3 linked regions of the Rattus norvegicus genome follow. The main gene of each other region encodes a partner of the protein of the gene in region 2 in a complex. Links are inferred from orthologs where the notes say so. Each region holds a gene or a part of one and is shown on either strand. Other genes may lie near its edges.

The links.
Region 1: the proteins of Rgs7 (region 2) and Gnb5 are in contact, whole or in part, in a cryo-EM structure (PDB 7EWP), measured with the Homo sapiens proteins. The link is inferred for Rattus norvegicus from reciprocal best matches to the Homo sapiens genes RGS7 and GNB5. Residues at the interface, in NP_001351815.1 of Homo sapiens: Pro19, Leu22, Val23, Lys26, Val30, Ile72, Val76, Glu77, His80, Leu81, Leu84, His88, Val207, Asp213, Ile214, Lys215, Lys216, Leu258, Gln261, Ile262, Trp265, Gln266, Gln268, Leu269, Arg271, His272, Arg273, Leu274, Lys275, Met276; in NP_057278.2 of Homo sapiens: Leu57, Glu60, Ala61, Glu62, Leu64, Lys65, Leu68, Glu71, Lys74, Leu75, His76, Asp77, Val78, Glu79, Leu80, Val83, Leu90, Phe93, Arg98, Arg99, Leu109, Lys117, Arg118, Ser134, Phe135, Trp149, Met151, Leu167, Tyr197, Ser206.
Region 3: the proteins of Rgs7 (region 2) and Gpr158 are in contact, whole or in part, in a cryo-EM structure (PDB 7SHF), measured with the Homo sapiens proteins. The link is inferred for Rattus norvegicus from reciprocal best matches to the Homo sapiens genes RGS7 and GPR158. Residues at the interface, in NP_001351815.1 of Homo sapiens: Gln35, Ile43, Ser55, Arg109, Phe110, Thr112, Pro113, Tyr114, Phe115, Lys134, Thr136, Lys140, Ala141, Arg142, Leu143, Leu145, Ala146, Asp147, Ala150, Leu153, Gln157, Trp164, Phe168, Met169, Gln170, Glu172, Ala173, Gln174, Lys176, Val177; in NP_065803.2 of Homo sapiens: Leu507, Lys508, Phe510, Leu511, Arg513, Thr514, Tyr595, Tyr598, Ala599, Thr602, Val603, Pro604, Ile714, Arg715, Leu718, Lys719, Tyr722, Leu725, Glu726, Tyr728, Lys729, Arg730, Met733, Ile734, Thr735, Asn736, Asn737.

Annotation. Positions count from the first base shown.
Region 1 is NC_086026.1:84,954,134-84,960,299, reverse strand, and holds the start of Gnb5 (guanine nucleotide-binding protein subunit beta-5), read right to left. Parts: upstream 3,672-6,166; 5' UTR 3,565-3,671; coding exon 3,453-3,564; intron 1-3,452. UniProt on the Homo sapiens protein: Enhances GTPase-activating protein (GAP) activity of regulator of G protein signaling (RGS) proteins, such as RGS7 and RGS9, hence involved in the termination of the signaling initiated by the G protein coupled receptors (GPCRs) by accelerating the GTP hydrolysis on the G-alpha subunits, thereby promoting their inactivation.
Region 2 is NC_086031.1:89,937,602-89,943,867, reverse strand, and holds the start of Rgs7 (regulator of G-protein signaling 7), read left to right. Parts: upstream 1-2,817; 5' UTR 2,818-3,033; intron 3,034-3,112; exon of another isoform or gene 3,113-3,356; intron 3,357-3,413; exon of another isoform or gene 3,414-3,774; intron 3,775-4,171; 5' UTR 4,172-4,217; coding exon 4,218-4,295; intron 4,296-6,266. UniProt on the Homo sapiens protein: GTPase activator component of the RGS7-GNB5 complex that regulates G protein-coupled receptor signaling cascades.
Region 3 is NC_086035.1:88,740,821-88,746,828, reverse strand, and holds the start of Gpr158 (metabotropic glycine receptor precursor), read right to left. Parts: upstream 4,007-6,008; 5' UTR 3,304-4,006; coding exon 2,402-3,303; intron 1-2,401. UniProt on the Homo sapiens protein: Metabotropic receptor for glycine that controls synapse formation and function in the brain. Acts as an atypical G-protein coupled receptor that recruits and regulates the RGS7-GNB5 complex instead of activating G proteins.

The sequences.
Region 1 (6,166 bases), on a different chromosome or scaffold from region 2:
TGACCAGGGAATGAAGTCTACAGAGTAAGACCCTGGTCTGAGTGCTAAAGTTACAGAACTGAGGGCCGAGTTTGGATCAGGAATCGATCGATCCCTTCCGGTTTCTCATCTTCAACTATTGTACTGACTAAAAATATTTACTTCTCTGTTTGTTTTTAAACAGGGTCTCATGTAACGCAGGCTGGCCCCAAACCCATTATGTAGTGGAGAATAACCTTGACCTTTTGATGCCTCAACCTTCCAAGTGCTGGGACTGTAAGCCTGCATTGCCATTCTGTCGTGCAGAGAATGGAACCCAGGCCTGTCCCTACCAACCAAGCTATGACTCATAATTGATTTTTCATTCACCCTTAAATTTCTTTTAAAATTATATTTATTTTATCCAATTATTCACGTGTCATATGTGGACCTCAGAAGACAGCTCAAAGCTGTCTGTCTCTTTCTTCCAAGTGGGCCCAAGGGATACAACCAGGGTCCTTAGGCCTTGGCCACAACCTGTTGAGCCGTCTCATTGTGCCCCTCCCCAGAAAGTTTTAAAAGAAAGTTAGCTTAGTTTTCATAGGGCCAGTCAGTCTTCTGTGTTCTGTGGGGATGCACATACACAAATAAAAAATTGAGAGGTGATTTAGAAAACAAAAACAAAATAAAACAAACAAAAACAAAACAAAAAAACCCATGTCTGTGGGTCAGTTCACTCAGTCTTTTTGAAATCCCAAGTCCTAGGGCTGGGGAGATGGCACATGAATCAGGACCTAAGTGTCAATCAAGTTGGCTGTAGTGGCTCACACTTGTCATTCCAGTCCAGGGAGGCGGAGACAGGAGGATCCCTCAAGCTCATTGGCCAGCCTGGCCTACATACTTGGTCCAGGTAAAACGAGAGACTTGTTTATAAAAACCAAGGTGAACAGCATTCACCTTAGTTTACCTCAGGTCTCTACACATTCACACGCACACGTGCGTGTGCACACACACATGCATAGCACCCAATCCTTCGCTATGTCCCTCCATGCTCCAATAGCTCCCATTGTAACCCCACTTTCTTCTCTACTCCTGTTTATGCCTCTCCAGACATAGCCTCAGCTTTCCCTAAGTACAGCAAACATAGTCCCCTGCCTCAGCTTTGCCTCACTACATCAATGCTCCCTTGACCCAGCTTGTGCTGCTGCTTTATTTCAAATGCTCTTTTCTGGGACAGTCTGTCCTTTACACAGGTAAGGAGTCTGCATTCAAAGATCCTTTCTGGGAGCCACTCCAGCTCACAGTCTCTGGAAGTCTCTGAGCTCCCCCAGACTCATTTCCCACATCCCCACCCCCTCTCTTCTATCCAGAGCACGTGTCTAACCCAATCTCATCTTACCTATTGAATGACCAACTTCTAGAAGCCTTTGGACCAAAGACTTACAAGGGAACATTCTTGATTTGTTCACTGCAGCATCTTTATGGACCAAGCAGAGGCAGACACACTAGGGGCTGACAAACTGTGTGAGTAAAAGATAGAGGTGTGTGTGTGTGTGTGTGTGTGTGTGTGTGTGTGTGTGTGTGACTGTTTTCAGAGGTAGAGAGATGGAAGGGAAATTAAAGATGAGGAGGGGTATCCTGAGATGAGGAGAGAGGGGAAGCTGACCCTTGCAGGTGTGCAGGGGACGAGGGCTAAATCTATGAACTCAGATCTATAAACAGGCCTCTCACTTCTTTTACCTCCCACTTTCTGTGAGGGAAATAAAAGGTGGGCAGAACAGAGACTCCCACAGATTGCTGACGTCTTACAGTTGCCAGGGTAAATCTGACTAAGGGCAATGCAGGGGTCACTTAGCCACTGACCACAGAGGTCTCTTGGTGCCCTCTCTTCAGTAGCCCCTGGAGTTCAGCGAGAGGAGACAGGAGGATGGCTACATCCATGGCTGGGGAGGGGGCAGGAGGGCCAGAGTCAATGTCCCTCAGCAAGACTTCCAGAAGTTGATCAAAATGTCTGTGCTGATGTCAGGGAAGTGACGGAACACAGGACAGGGCTTCCAGGTACAGGAGAGAGCCAGGGTTCCTAAGGACCTGGAAGACACTGTGGTCAGAGTGGGACTTTAAGGGATGGAGAGACGACAAGACAAGGGTTTCTCTGTGTGGGCTGAAGGGTTGTGCTAGAGTGGGGGGCTCATGTCATAAGGGCCATCGGTGTGGGGCTTCAAAAAGACTGCTCAAGCCACAAGACTAAGCTGTCAAGTGGAGAAGTCCAAGGCACTGATACCAAGATGAGGCAACACCATCATCTATCTGTAGCATACAAGGCTCTGAGAAGGCAGGCCCATGTCACGCAGCTGATACCTACTCCTCACTTCTCATTTAGGGCTGGCAACATGCTCAGCCTGGCTCCCCCTTTTTCAGACTCCCTGGCAGGGGCCACATGGCCTATGAAGTGCAGATAGAAATGTTGGGAGGAGAGGAATTCTGGGAAATGTTTGCTTTTTCCCTAAGAAGGAAAAGAGCCCCGGTGTTCACACTCTCCCTTCTTCCTGCTTTGGATACAGGGGCAACGTTTGGAGCGGTGGCAGTCATCTTGGGATCACTGGGTAAATAAGTGCCAGCGATAAGGCGTGGAAACGCGTGAGTCCCTCAAAGCACCAGGTAGCTGCACCAGACCTGATCTTGTTACCAAAACCCACCATTTAACCACTTACATCTGAGCACATTTCTAACCACACAGGAGTTAGCTGCCCCTTCCTAACTTAAGAGAAGGCCCCGAGAGCAGACAACCAGGGTTTTGTACTTCCAGCAAGTTTCAAAGAAATTAAACACTAAAGGCCTCACTCTGACCCCCAGTTCCCTTCTCTAAATGGAACTGAAAAGATCAAGGCCTATTAGGAAGGTGGGCAGGGGCGTGGGGGGGGGGCGCACCGTACAGAAGTGTGTTAGGGTTGGGGGCTGGCAGGCCTTGAAAGGGAGTACGTAAGTAAGGGAGGGTGAACGGGTAAGACCACTGCCCAAGCAGGGTCCCTACTCCGAGCTCTGTTCTCTCTCTGGCCGAGAGTCTCTGGGATGCGGGCACGCTGGCAAGTTTATTTATACCGCGTTAGCTCTTTTATGTCAGCCGCAGCATCCATCAAACACTCCTAAAAGGGCCTACCCCAAGCCGAGCCGGCGGATGCAGAAAGCACATCGGCTTCCCTCCGCCATCCAGCTCCCTGCCCCCAAGGACAGTGGAGAGATGGGAAAGGGAGCTTCAAAATCCACGCAGAGGAAGGGACCTGACAGGGGCAGAGAAGCCCAACGTGGAACTGTAAAGCGGTCTCTCCTCGCCCGCCCGCACCTGCTGTCACCACCTCCCCACCCGCCCCCTGGGAGGGGCTCGGCATCCTCCCATCAGGGACGTTGGAATCGGTCCCACGCAGGTCCGCCAGCCCCTTGGAGAGTCTGGTCCACTCCGGCCGAGAGCTTCCCTTCCACCCCCTGCTCGCACTCACGCTCCACGTCATGCAGCTTCGCCCGCTCCTCCTCTAGCTTGCCCTTGAGGCTCTCGGCCTCGCTCTTCAGCGACGCCAGCGTCTCGTTCTCGTGCAGCCCATCGGTTGCCATCTTCGTCCGGATGCAGCCGGGAGAGAAACGCAAAGCGGGAGATTGTGAATCGACGCGGGGGCCCGACGGGAGGGCGGGCGCAGCAGCAGCCTCCGTGACCCCGAACGCCACCCCGGGCCCGCCCCCTCGGCAGTGACGCGAGCGCTGCGGTGACAGACTCTGCTGGCTCCGCCCACCGCGCCCTCCCTGAGAACCGGGCGGGGCGATGCTCGGAGGTGGGACAGTGGGGGTGGGGATGGGAGTTGGGGTGAGAGTGGGGGTGGGTGAGGGTAGGAGGCTAGAATAAACTGAGGCTCGCAGACCACGCTATGGCCCACAAACTCTGGTCTCCTGGCTCCAGGGGTGCTTACTGAAGTCCAACCTATACCGCCCAGCCCTTGGCATCCCGGGGACTTGGGGGCAGGAGGCTTCATACAGGTGCCTCACAGCCCACTAGTTGAAACATTCTTTTAAAAATGAGTTCTGACTGCCTGGGTTCTGGGTTAAGACAACAAAAGCATGAGTCAGGGGCAGACCTTGCTGGGGTCAGGGGCGTCCTCTCTTTTGGAATGAAGGTTTGCTTATGTTTTATTTTATTTCTTTAAGATTTATTTATTATATATGAGTACACTGCCACTGTCTTCAGACACACCAGGAAGAGGGCATCAGATCTCATTACAGATGGTTGTGAGCCACCATGTGGTTGCTGGGATTTGAACTCAGGACCTCTGGAAGAGCAGTCAGTGCTCTTAACCGCTGAGCCATCTCTCCAGCCCTGCTTATGTTTTATTGACCTTAACAATTTGATGACTCCAGTGGCTCCTCTGCAGCTACACTTCACTGGGCTAGGTTCCTTGGTGACACTTTCAGTGCTCACCTGAGTCGCTGTGAAAGGAATCCCAGACACCCCACCTCCCACCCCACCTCCAAGCTATTTTTGCAGAGTAGGGACAAAAGGCCGTGAACACTCAGTGTCACACTTCCAGGAAGAGAAGAAGGCAGGGTTAGGACCCGGGCAGTTCAGGTTCACTGATAGGCTCTCACTTAGGCCTTCTCCCTTTTCTCCATGACCTTTAGGATGGGAAGGAGGACCAAGTTCACAAATTCTGGGCTGAACACTGCAGAAGCAGTCTCCAGTGCTGGCCTGTGTGTGTGTGTGTGTGTGTGTGTGTGTGTGTGTGTGTGTGCACGTATGCATCTGTTCTGGGCCTTCTCAGTCTGAGAAAGTATTGTATTAATGTACACATACCTGTGTTTTAGGCAAGATTCTGGGAGTCTCCATTTCCTTATCTGGAAAAGTCTGCATCCCAGGGCTTTCTGAGAATTAGATGCTGGGGAGGAGACTGGAGGATACCTCTCTGTCAGTTGCTTCTCCTTTCTCTTCAATAGAGGGTTATCCACCACCCATTTTCATTCCCTATGCCTCTGTCTGTCTGTCTTTGTCTCTGTCTCGGCCTCTCTCTGTGCTCCCCTTCCCTGCTCTCCCCCACCCTTCTGTCCATGTCTCCCTCTTTATAGCCCTGGCTTCCCTGCAGCACCCTTTGTAGAGCAGGCTGGCCCAGAAGTCATGTTGCTCAATCTACCTCTGCCTCTCGGGTGCTGGGATTAAACATGTGCACTGTCATGCCTGGCACCTTATCCATCGTTTTAGCCTCAGAATTTAGCAGAACGTTGGCTTATGGAAGCGATGAGCTTATGCTCACTTACTAAATGGATAAACCAGGCTACATACGTTTAAGTGTATATGCATATAATGTGTACACACACAGAGTCAAGGGTTGGGGCGATGGCTCAGCAGTTAAAAATACCTAATGTTCTTCCAGAGGACCCAGTTTTTCTTCCCATCACCCATGTGGTGGTTCACAATTCTTAATAATGTTAAGTTCCAGGGAATTCAGTGCCCTGATCTGGCTCCATTGACACCAGGCATGACATGGTTCACAGACATATATGCAGGCGAGCCTCTCATATACATAAAATAAACACATATTTTGATCTAAAATTTAAGGATTTATGTATTTATTTTTATGTCATGTATATGGGTGTTTTGTCTGTATGTATGTCTGTATACCACACGTGCAGTGCTCCAGTTGGGCTATCAGGAAAGGGTGCAGTACCACCTGTTACCAGATGGGGGCACTGGTGAGCCATCGCTTTGCGCACAGCCCGGTGGATCTTCTAAGACAGGGACTAAAGATTCCCAGGGCTGAATACACTTTTTCAGTGATAATCCGAAGCCTGGGGTAGCTTTGGGGAGGGCAAGATTTGATGTACTTTGAGAAAGTAAGTCGGGATTTCTGTTCAGTTTCTGCCCTGCCCAGTGGGTGGGCTCAGGAGCTCTGGAGTTTGGTTTGGCTCTCTGCTTAGGCAAGATCAGCCAGGCCATCCAAACAGCTAAAGAGGAAGCTTGGACAGGTCCCCTGGGATTGTTTGTCTGCCAGAATTTCTTCTAGCTTGGTGGCTCGTTAGGCAGGCTGGGAGGAGACAGAAGCAAAAATCATTAGCCCCTCATGAGGAGTGTTTTGGACACTTTGCCCTGATCTCACATGACCCTCACAAAGCCTCAAAGTCCAAATCTGTTAGCATTTCAATCTCACCAGTGGGAAAATCGGCCTCAGGAAAT
Region 2 (6,266 bases):
ATCACATAGCACTTACAGTTGTAATGGCCACTCTGGCTGCTCTTTATGGGACCTGTTGACTGGGTTGATGGAAGGTATGGGAGAAAGAAGGCACATGCTTTTCCCAAACTTGATTGGGCGCTCCCTGAAGATCAAAGTTACCTACTGGGTTTGTGGAAAGATAAGAATCTTTCATTCACAGGAAATAAACAAAAAACACTTTCCAAATAAAAATGGATACCTTCGTGGGTGGATAATAACTTAGGGTGCTTAGGATGCCTAAGCCTCCAATTATTTATAAAAATAGGTGTTTATAAAAATAGGTATGTATAAAAGCAGGTATTTATAAAAATAGATGCTATTTCTAATATTTCAAAAATATTAATACAGTTGAATTTCTTTCCTTAAGTGAAACCATTGAAATTAGATTTATTCCCCTAGGTGGAACTATTAAAGTTAGACATAAAGAAAAAGCTTTTAAATGTCTCTTTGGGGGTTGATGAGGCTACAGGTAGGTCTTTTGCCTACTTGTTCAGAGGTCTCATCTGGCATATAAAATGTATATAGTACCACACATTTAAGAATTTAATTGGTTTAACAAAAATATTGCAACATATATGGTTCATAGAGAAAATAGTAAAATTAATTTGAGTGACAGTTGAGAATCATGAGAATGTTAAAATATAAGATACAGATGGATTTGGTGATATCTAGGGGTACTGGCTGGTTCTGTGTGTCACTTCGACCCCAGCTGGAGTTATCACAGAGAAAGGAGCCTCCCTTGAGGAAATGCCTCCATGAGATGCAGCTGTAAGGCATGTTCTCAATTAGTGATCAAGCAGGGAGGCCCCTTTTAGGTGGTGCTGTCCCTGTACTGGTAGTCTTGGGTTCTACAAGAAAGCAAGCTGAGCAAGGCAGGGAAAGCAAGCCAGTGAATAACATCCCTCCATGGCCTCTGCATTGGTGTCTGCTTCCTGCGGTGCGTAAGTTCTAGTCCTGACTTCCTTTGGTGATGAGCAGCAATGTGGAGGTGTAAGTTGAATAAACCCTTTCCTCCCCAATTCGTTTCTTCGTCCTGATGTTTGTGCAGGAATAGAAACCCTGACTAAGACACTAGGCTATTTCCTCGACTTTAACTCTGAAGAATGTGAGTCCTGGAAATTCATAGGCGATAAATGACTGACCGAGTTATGAGTTGTCTCCAGAATTGAATCTTCTTCCTTAGTTCTTTCCTGGCAACTGTAACTATCCTTACAGGCTCCTTCAGGCCATTTCATTTAGGACAAACTGGTGAGCACACCCAATGCCTCTTTCTGTATCCATCCATCTAAAAACACAAGAGTATCCATCCACACAGTAGAATAGCAAGGGGAAGAAAGGGAAGGAGGGGGCTGAAGGCAGAACCGCTGGTTTCAGCTAGGATAAGAATACCAAGGAGCTATTAGAAGACACTGGAAACAGAGAATTTTGCTGAGCAATAGAAATATTTGGGGGGACTGGGAAAATAAGCATGTAGTATTCAGAACAAGGGTAGGGGTAGACAAATATTTATTATTTTGAGTGACACCCGAAAGAGCCTGGGCAAGGCCAGAAAGTGACTGGTATTCAGAGATATTTGAATAGCAGTCTCTATGTACTAAGTTTCACCCTGCTTTGACAAGCAGCTACAGAGGGCTCTGGCTAGGCAAACCTAGTGCCACAGGTTTGTAATCCCAGCTGCTTGGGAGGCTGGGGCAGGGGAACGTTGAATTTTAAGGTCTGTTTGGGTTAAACTGAGTTTAAGGCCAGGCTGGGTAGACATTATTTATGGGAAAAAAAATGTGTTGGCAGAAAGGGTGGTGAGTGGGATTCGGATCATTGACAGAGACCCTATGTTTAGTCCCACAAACAAACAAAATCACACTGGCTAAATCATCTTTGATCCGCAGCTACAGAGGAAGCCTCAGAGTCTCAGATTCCTACAACTTCCTAATGTCCCAGAAAGCTGGGTACGTTTCAGGAGGACAAACACTTTCCTCTTTAATGTCCTCCTAACCCTTGAGAAATTAGTGGCAGGAACCCGAAGAGTTCCTGGGATGCAGGGGTATCAGTAACCCTTCTGTGAACTCCGGTGGAGGACAAGGACTAAAGACAAGTTTCTCTGAGCCCAGTAGGTTAAACCAGCCAGACGTCAGCCATAATCCTTCAATGTCACAGGTGGTGAGATTGTTCCCTCTTGGTCCAGGCCTCCAAATTCTTTCCTGGTTTTTTCCAACTTAAGAGGAGGCAGTAAAAGCCACCGGCAAACAGGACCGGGGTGAAGAGGGGGGCCTGCAAAGAGTCACTCGGTCCTGGCCATTGCTTTCAATTCTGGGATATTCCAGCATCTCTCTTTGCTGTTACTTAAGCAGAAGATTATCAATCATTTGCTTCCCTAGTTGTGCCAGCAGGGTCGCCAGGAGCACGGTGTAGAGCTGCCAGCGGCAGGGGGCTTTAATCTAACCATCCATTTACCCACTCACCCACCCATTCACCCACCTACCCATCCACCCACCCTCTGCCAAGCCCTTCCTCCTGCTTAGCTCAGTTTTGCTCTCCAGGCCTGCGGCGGCGCGGGCGGGGCGCAGGAGCGTGGGTTAGCCAGCGCGGGGGACAGGGCCTGTGCTCCGGAGGGGTTGCGGGGTCGGGAGGCCGGGGAGACCCAGGGGTGTGGCGGCGGCAGAGCCGAGCCCGTCCGAGCCGGCACCTTCGGGCGTCCCTGTCCCACGTGACTGTCGCCTCCTCCCTCCTCCCAGTCGCGCGCGCACGGGTCGGGCGTCTCGACTCCCGCGCGCGCTCGACTGGTCCCAGTCCCCGGGAGGAGAAGCGGAGGAGGGAACGAGCGAGGCGGCCCGGGGGAGCGGGCGCGAGCGGCGGCTGCCAGGGCCGCCTGTGCACCGCGAGGGTGGCGGTGGCCTGAGCAGCGCGAGTGTGATGAGGCTGCCCTGCCTCACTGCTCCGCTCGCAGCCAGCTGACAGCGCCTGCCCTCAGCACGCCCGGAGGGGAACCGCGGGGCCGTGACCTTGGCCGAGGAGGTAACCGGAGAGGGTGGGAGGGGAGGAGGCGGCGCCACCCGGAGTCCCTGGGACCCCCGGCCCCGCACCCGGTCCTCGCCCTGCGACGGCGGGAGCCACAGTCCCCAAAGAGCGGCGCGCTCGGCCGGGCTGGGGCGCTGCGCACGCCGCGGTCCACGGTGCTGAAACTGCTGCCCGGTGTGGCCAGTGCCTGGATGCGGGGCAAGGCAGCCTGCCATTTGCTGCCGCCGAGAGCAAGGGCTGAGCAGGATGAGATGGGACCCAGATTTCTCTGTTCTTCTGGCCGATTGCTCCAGGCTTGTGCAGTTAGCTTGCTCTCTGAGGTGAGCCAGGTGATTGCCTAAGGCTTGACTTCCCACCAGCCTCGGGTTGCCTGGACCTAATTTGGATGCTTTCTTCCAAAGATTAGTCAGGATTAGGTCCAGACTTAGCGCGCTGAGTGAGGTGGCAGCACAGAGGAGCCATGGGCTAGCAGTGAAGGCAGGTGAAAGTGGAAAAGCCTATGCCCAGGCTGTGTGGGGAACCCGAGGCATGGAGAGGAAACGTGTGCCAGAGAACACTTGTGGGGAAGGGGCCTCTGATGCTCCCGTCATGCGAAACTAGCAGGATAGGAGGAGAAAGTGGGCTGCTGCTGTGGGTGTTGGCTTTCTACCCTTTGGGGAGATCCGCATCAAGTGAGCAGCAAGTATCCAGAGAGAGCTGTGGGTATTAGGAAAGTGCCATCCATGGGTTTTTTAAAAAGTGAGTACCTAACACTTTTAAAAAGAGAGTATTCACAAAATGAAGTCCACAAAACCTTAGCCAGTTGACTGTATCTAACTGGAAGGTTGTCTGTTGAAATTTCCTGGGGCTACTATAGATGTAAACTCCTTCCGTTTTTCTTTCTTTCTTTCTTTCTTTCTTTCTTTCTTTCTTTCTTTCTTTCTTTCTTTCTTTCTTTTTTAAAGTCCATGTCCTGTGTTCTCCAGTCAGCCCAGGAATGAAAAAAATTTCTCCCCATGGGTTGGGTACTGTGAACATGAAGATGAGTGTGTGTGTGTGTGTGTGTGTGTGTGTGTGTGTGTGTGTGTTGGGGGGGGGTCTGTTCCCTCCAGGGCTCCTACCAGGATCTCACCAGAGGCTCTCTAATCATTTGCAGGGCAGACTGATCATCCTTGTATCTGAGCTACCAAGTTCTGTGTGAAATGGCTCAGGGGAATAATTATGGCCAGACCAGCAATGGGGTGGCAGAGGAATCACCGAACATGCTGGTGTACAGAAAGGTAAGAGTCCTTCACCTCCCTGGAAAAAGGGGAACTTCAGCTTCCTTTCTTCCTCCCTTTCTTTTTTCTCTCTTTCTTTCCTTTTTTCTTTCCTTCTTTCTTTCTTTTCTTTCTTCCTTCCTTCCTTCCTTTCTTTCTTTTCTTCTTTCTCTCTCCTTATCTTTCATTTTTTCTTCTTCCTTCCTCTTTCTTCTTTCTTTTGTCTGGCTCCGAGTATTTATCAACTTCGTGAACTCCCAGAGCATCAGTGACTATGTACTCTGCTAAAGGACGATCAGATGTTCCCAAGTGACAGGAAGTAAAATAGACCTTGCACATTCCTTGCTGACCGTTACAGTCACCTGTTGTTAGCATCTACACTGTTTGGCTATTCATTGTATTGTGCTGTTCCACTAGATTTAATACCATCCCTTGCGACTCTTTCAGACGGTATTTTCGAAACATTTAGGTTTAATAATGTCTTGAGTGTGCTGCAGTTTGGAAACTAAACGATGGCTTTACAGGTCTCCGGCGAGAATGACTGTATCCGTGGATGTGTAAGCTTTCACCAGTTTGCTCACGGCTAGATGACTCTGGTTCTTTTGGTCTTAACCTAATTTCTTACCTTGCATTATTTCCGTGACGTTATCTATAGCATCTGTGCTATAGTGTCATACATCCCTGGGATAATCTGTACAGTCCCTATTCCCCTTCTGCAAACGCATCTAACTGTTTTCTGCCATGTTTTCGTACTTCTAGACGTTGATCTACGTTTGGGTTTTGCATGTGTTTCAGGATGGTTGCTTAGGTAACCTCAACATGGTTATAATCAACACGTTTGCTAAAATTAAGGAGGCAGTATTCTTTGCATAACTTCTGCATTGGTTTCTCCTTTTGTAGTTTTTACTGGGGTTATTTTTTTTTTTCTTAAGCGTATTACCTGGGGCGTGTCATGGCTCGGGTTTCATTAGTTGGCACTGACAACAGCAAGTGGAAATCCTTCTCTGAGGTCAGGAATGTTATTAAGGGTTTTGATGAGCGGGAGTCCACTGGATTCACTGTGAGTGTAGATCTGTGAGACTGAGCTGATTGTGAAGACAGAGGAAAGGCTGTGTGCTTGCCTTAACCCATGCAGAAATCCTAACTTTACCTGTGTGCCCCAGAGGCATTAGAAGGCAGTCAGGATTGTGCTGGGGGGATATCGATACCACTCTAAGCAGATGCATGATGTTCGGACACAATACCAACTGCTTATCCTGTAGCCTGTGAATGGTGCTATTCTGTATACGTGTAAATGCAGCCAGATGTGTCTGAGACATCACAGAAAGAAGGGGAAGAAAAATAAGGGACTAGCTGACTCCTTCCATCATTTTATCCAAATAGATGAATTAAGACTATCATGCACTTGAACCTAAGTCATTGCTATTACATCCGGACACTGAATGAAGTAACTGTGCTCACGTATTTTACATATAGAGCTGGTCTAGAGGAGAAGAATATTCTGGCGGTAGTTGGGTACTTAGTAACTGATTTTATTTTATGTGGTATGACTTTGAATGTTGTAACATGAAAGATGTGAGGATTTAAAAAAAAATCTGTCCTAGGAGTTTATGCAGTATGGGGAGCTGTACTTCCGAGGGGAAGTTATGGTAGCAAGTTACGTTTGTTAAGCCACACAGCTGGATTCTTTTCCTGTTTGCCTATAAACAATCGACAGACAGCTTGGATGTCATTATTTGAGTGCTTGCTGTACCAACTCTCAGATTACTAAGTTTGAATTTACATTATAAATTTACTTTTATAGTTTCAAATCACTGTTAGTTTTAAATGTAAACTTGTATGTTTCATGGAGATTTTATGGAATCTAACTTTTTGTCCTTCGAGACTATGTAGTTCTGGCTAGATTTTAACCTGCAACCACTCTCCTGACTCTGCCTCTCAATAACATCTCCTCCTTCCTTCCCTCCCTCCCTCCCTCCTTCCCTCCTTCCC
Region 3 (6,008 bases), on a different chromosome or scaffold from region 2:
TAATGTGTATTGTGCCCAGGTTACATCGCCAAAGTGTGGGAGAAAGAGGGGGTAGTTGAAAAAAAAACAGGGCAGACTAAAAGACAAATAGAGGAGGGAGACAGAGAGAGAGAGAGAGAGAGAGAGAGAGAGAGAGAGAGAGAGAAGCAGTTCTAAATCCAAATGGTCTTTGTCCTCATCCTACATCTGGCCCTTGGAAATAATACCATTTATATGCAAGCTTACTTCCAGCTCACTAAGTCATCTTTAGGAAACTGCATACTAGTTAAAAGCATAAAGTAAGCATAAGCTTGCATCTTGACTCCTTTATTTAATAACTGTATGATCAGTCATAAAACTTAGCCCCTCCGTGTTCCATATGCCCTTATTCAAAAATACAGAAAACAATAACACATAACTATGAAGACTGCTGGAAAAAGTTGCCAAGATAGTCATACCAAGCAGTCAACACAGAACTTACCATCAAGTATACAGCACATAGACTAACATCAAGCAAAAGTGAGACAGAGCCAGTTGGGGAAGATGGGGAACAGGGAGAAGAGAGGAGAGAAGGAGAGAGAGAAAAGAAGGGAGAGAGGTCGATCCTGAGACTCTAAAAGGTATCATCTAACAGCCATGGTTCATGGGCTCCAAGTGGCATCTGCTGGGCCCTCTTGTAAGAAAACGCTGTGGCAAGGATTTGAAGCTGGTCTGACACGTTTACTACTAGGATCCTGGAAGAACCAGGAGGAAATGAGATTATCCTGAAAGTAGGAAAGTTGCTGTAGTTTAAGGTAGGATCTTTAAAAGAACCATAAACACACGTAGGGGTTCATGCAGAAACAAAGAAGAAAGGGGGGTCTTCATCTGTGCCGTTTCAAGCTGGCAGGAAATAAAGGCTACAGGATTTTATGACTGTGTATTTCCCTAGAGACAAACTGTTTCGATTCTCTCAGTTGATAGATAAGTGCCCGGGGCCCAGCGAGGTTAAACAACTTCATCGGAGGCAGTGCTTCTACTTTCCTGGGATTTCCTACCCATTGCTTGCCCTGGTATGTTCAAGCACATGCACACACACACACACACACACACACACACACACACACACACAGAGAGAGAGAGAGAGAGAGAGAGAGAGAAAGAGAGAGAGAGAGGGAGAGGGAGAGGGAGAGAGAGAGAGAGAGAGAGAGAGAGAGAGAGATCGCTTTTTCCAAATCTCAAAAATGTTAAATAATTAAATATATATATATATAATATATATATATAATATATATAAATAAATAATTAAATATATATATATATAATTATATATATAATATATATAAATATATATTATATATATATATATATATATATATATATCAATTCCAACCCCCCTCTGGTTCTTTGCAGTTTCCCATCGGGGTCTCTGGTAAACCCCATCAACATCAGTTCTCTCCAAATCCCTCTCTGCAGGTTCTCCTCCCTCCCCTCCATTCCTTCCTTGCATCCATCCCTGAAAGGCTACTTCTAGAAGTCCCTCACTGTGGAGCTGATGGGTAACAGTTCTAATCTGAGAGTGAGAGCTTTCCTATGACGCCATCGGGAGAGCTACTAAAGTCTCTTCCTAGTTTCCTGTTTGGGTGAGACTGATTCCTCCCTCCCCAACTCTCATGGAGAACCTTCAGCTGTGCCTAAGGAGAACAGGAGGAGGAAGACACCAGGAAGGAAAGCTGATGACTAGAGAAGAAGGGGGGAAGCCAATAGGAGTACTCTGGATCCTGGAGATGGCTCTGCTGCTGAGTGACTCAGTGCTGAGTGGCCAGAACTGCCCAGGGGATGGCACAGGTTTAATTACACGCTCTGGTAGCTGACTAACAGCAGGCTTGCGCTCCAGACTACACTCACAGGAAGTGGGCAGAGGCTATCCCAAAGTGACAGATTCAAGGAATTCTCACTCCTTGTATCCTTGTAGTTCTCTCTCTCTCTCTCTCTCTCTCTCTCTCTCTCTCTCTCTCTCTCTCTCTCTCTCTCTCTCACACACACACACACACACACACACACACACACACACACACATACTCACACGCACAACTGGTGTTCTTGACTCTGATGGGCACAGCCCAAGCTCTCCCAAAGTTCGGGGACAGAGTTGTTAACCTTCTCCCCTTGTGCTATGGAAGGATTGAGACCAATTGCTACATCCCCCAAGCCCCGCTGCCGCTGCACACCAGGGAATGGCTTTCCGTGAGTGCCTAAAGCAGACAGACCGGGCATTTGTCACCCCTCCGCGCATGAGCTCGCCTGGACTTCTCTTAGTCTGAAGTTCTGTTCCAAGGCTGGAGACTTAAGTCTCACTGGCAGACAAGTGTGTTTCCCCAGAGTGCCTATTTACAAAACCAAAAGATGACTCTGTGTGTGCCCTATCCAACCCTCTTCCTACCTGAATTCCGGGACCAGGTTAGGTTGAAGCCCGTAGAAGGCAGCAGAGAGAGTGACCAGCCACCCGGGCTTGTAACTCCCATTCTCGCACTCCAGAAAAGGTGGAGACCACTTGACATGGCTCCTGTCCCCGCCAAGCCCATCCCTGCGCCGCCAGCTGTGGCCCAGGCCCCGTGGCCCCTGATTGGAGCCGCGGCGGTGCAAGTGGGGCCTCCACTTTCGCCGAAGCCCGTGGAACCACTCGGTCTCCAGAGTGGCGTTAGCCAGGTGGTGAGCGGAGGAGGACAGGTCCTGCAGCAGGATGCGACTCTCCTCACGGGTGGCCTGGAGGAAGACTTGCGGGGCGGGCGTGGACAGCGACTCGGTGCTGAAGGTGATGGCCGCCCGGGAGATGCTGGGCTCTCCCTCCAGGAGACTTCGCACCAAAGCCTGGTACCACTGCAGGTCATCCTGCACGGTCTGCTCCCGAGACTTATTGCTCTGCAACATCATGTTGAGGAAGTTGGTGGCGTGTGTCAGAGTGTCCAGCGCCCCGTGCAAGGAAGGATGGGAGCTGGCTAGGGACGGTGACTTCCCCGGCAGGCCCGCCAACTCATAGCGGCCTGAGCAGTTGGCTCTCTTCAGCTGGTGGAAGTCCCCAGTATAGAGGTAAGAGGCCACGTCCATGGGCACCTCCTCGGCTAGTTTTTGTGCCAAGATGGTGCCGTCTGTGGAGCGGCTCCAGGGAATAGAGGGGTCCGGGGCAGAGGCTCGCGGCAGCTGCTGACCGTGCTGCTTCCCCCTCGAAGTCCTCTCTCGAGAAGAATCTGGCCGTTCTGAAGGGTCGAGGCTGGCACCAACCTCTCCCAATCCCAGATGAGCGAGCAGGAGGCAGAGGAGTAAAGAGTAAGCCATGGCTCCCATCTGTCTAGCACAGAAGAGAGGAGATAACCGGAGGAGTCACTTTGTAAATTTCGGTCCTTAATTTATCACCAGTAAGACTTTTGGGGGAGAGGCTTCCTTCTCCAGGTGGAGCCCAGTCCAGATGGACTTTAAAATAAGAATGTTTTGAAATTGGCCCAGCTGGTTCAGCTGCCGTCACAGACCCAAATCACCTGTGGCAATGCTGGCTGTGTCCCGCTCCACAATGGGTCGGCTCGGGATTACGCACCTCGCAGCCTTGAGCCAAACAGGTTACATCCCCGGCAGCTATAGTTAGCCGGCTTACGTCTTTCTGCTCAGCCGCTTCCACCGCCGCTCTCATTGAGGTGTGTTCAAGAGCTGGTGCTGATGCTGCTGATGCTGCTGATGCTGCCACCGCGGCCACTGAAGACGCTGCTCCATCATCTCACCCTTGGCAGGTCGTTCCCGCCTCCTGGCTGTGGCCCCTCCTCGACCCTTTCGCCCCGAGATGAAAGCGCGCACACAGATCCACGCCGCGAGCTCAGCGGCGAGTCCCAAGGAACCCAGGTTTTCTTTGAAGACGTTTGTGTCTCTGGAGTCCAGACTGCCAGGCAGCTGGTTAACTGGAGCCCTTACCACAAACCGCACCGCTGCCTCTCCCTGCTCTCAGATGAAACCAGTTTAAAGAGACAGCTTGGCCGCAACCAAACCCTTCTAGGGCGGCTTCAAGTCGTCTTGTGCCCTGTTTGGTCGGCGCCTCTGTCAATCAGCTGACTGCCATTTGTTGGCTGGGGCGGGAGCTGTCCAGTGCTGAACCCGAGGCGCACTGAGGAGGCGGAGGAGGAGGCGGCGGCGCTGCTTTCACCCACTCGTGTTCCCTGATGACTCGGAAACCTGCAGGGGTGGCGAGGAGTGGGCGGGAAAGAGGAGAGAAGCGGCGCTTTTGGTGGCTGAAAGCGAAGGAAACTTGGGCTACTGAGCAGGAGGAGGCTGTAGGCATCTGGCTTGCTTAGTTAGATCAGCCCTTCCTTTTGCCTGGAAAAGAGGGAGAAGAGAGTAGTTTTCATTTCTGACTGAAACTGGGGAGGAGGGAACGTAGGATGGAAACGTGTCCTTCTTAGCATCTGCTCATTTTTTTAGGCAAATTATCAAATTCTCTTCCTCATTGTCGGTTAAGGAAATGATTAAACCTGGCCTTCCAATGATGGTCTTAGCTGTGAGAGAGTAATGGAGACATCTACTGGCTGAGCGTCAAGGAAAAATAAATGTCATATTTAAGGAATCCTCTTCTTCGGAGCCAGAATGAAAGCGGAGCTCTGACAATAAAGATGTGTGGAGAGGGGACATGACCAAGAATTGCGTGTTGTAGACTGTGAGAGAATGAGGACGAAAACGAGTGAATCCCTAGTGTGTGTGGGATACAAAGTCACTGTCGGTGAGTTACTGGAATTGATGAAAAACAGCTCAGACTTCAAGGGAGGGCTCCAGAGATGTGTCAGCTCCTTAAAGAATTGGGAAGGGCCCCTAAGCCACCTGGGTGTATCACTTGAAGTTTCCTGTGACATTTCCCTGTTGCATCTGCACTTTCCAAGTGGGCCTCCACTTTCGAATTCCTCAAGAAGACACATGTAGAAAATCCCAGGTTTATTTTAGTCCCCAACTAACAATAGTGTCACTCATGCCAGTCCAAGAGACTTACTGTACTATATATCATTTTGTTCTGGCAAGAAAATACCTTAGGCTATTCTGGGTTTCTATCATTATATACTGATAAGTAAGGAAAAATGTTTGTTTAGCTCTTAGCTTTGCACAGTGGGTGTCCAAGATCAGGTGGTCCCTGATTTGGGTGACTGGTGATGGCCTTCTGGAGAGCATGGAAGACAGTATGATGCTCAGTAATATATTGAGGAGGGAGAGAGAAGCCAATTGGCATCGAGAGGAGGACTAAACAGGGTTTTTATGACAATCTAGTCGCACAAAGCCCTACTGACTCTCAGCATGAAGCATTCATCCACTAGTGAGAGTAGAGACCCCACAAACTAATTGCCTTCTACTAGGTCCCACCTCTTAAAGTTTTACCGTATTAACACGTCCACGCTGAGGACAAAGCTTCCAGTGAAAGAGTCTTTGGAGCACTATCCACATCAAGTAATAACAACGTCTAAGTACTGGGATGTAAGAGACAAAACAAGAAATATCTTCCCAGTCACAATCATGGTGGTACACTGAATATCTAGAACACTGCTGGCACTGTACAGTAGGCTCTCACTATATACTTGGTAATTAGTGAAGGAATTAGATGGTGATAAACCTAGCTATCCTTTTCTCATGAGAAGAGTTTTGCTCAGCGAGCCAGGGATGAAGGCTTTTGGGATAGGACTTAGCAACCAGTTTTCTCAGCTGTTATATATGGTTTCCTAATACATTTTTGTGATTATGCTAACAATATAGTTATTTGATTTGTATTTACTTATAAGTAGATTCTGTGCTTATATCTGTCCTAGTTAGGAGTACTATTGCAGTGATGAAACACCATGACCAAAAAAGCAAGTTTTGGAGGAAATAGATTATTTCTACATCACAATCTATCATCAAAGGAAGACAGGAAGGAACAGAAAGAGGGCAGAAACCTGATGCAGAAGCTCATTCAGAGGCCATGGAGGGATGCTGCTTACCGGCTTTCTCTTCTTGGCTTGCTTAGCCTGCTTTCTATGGAACCCATAACC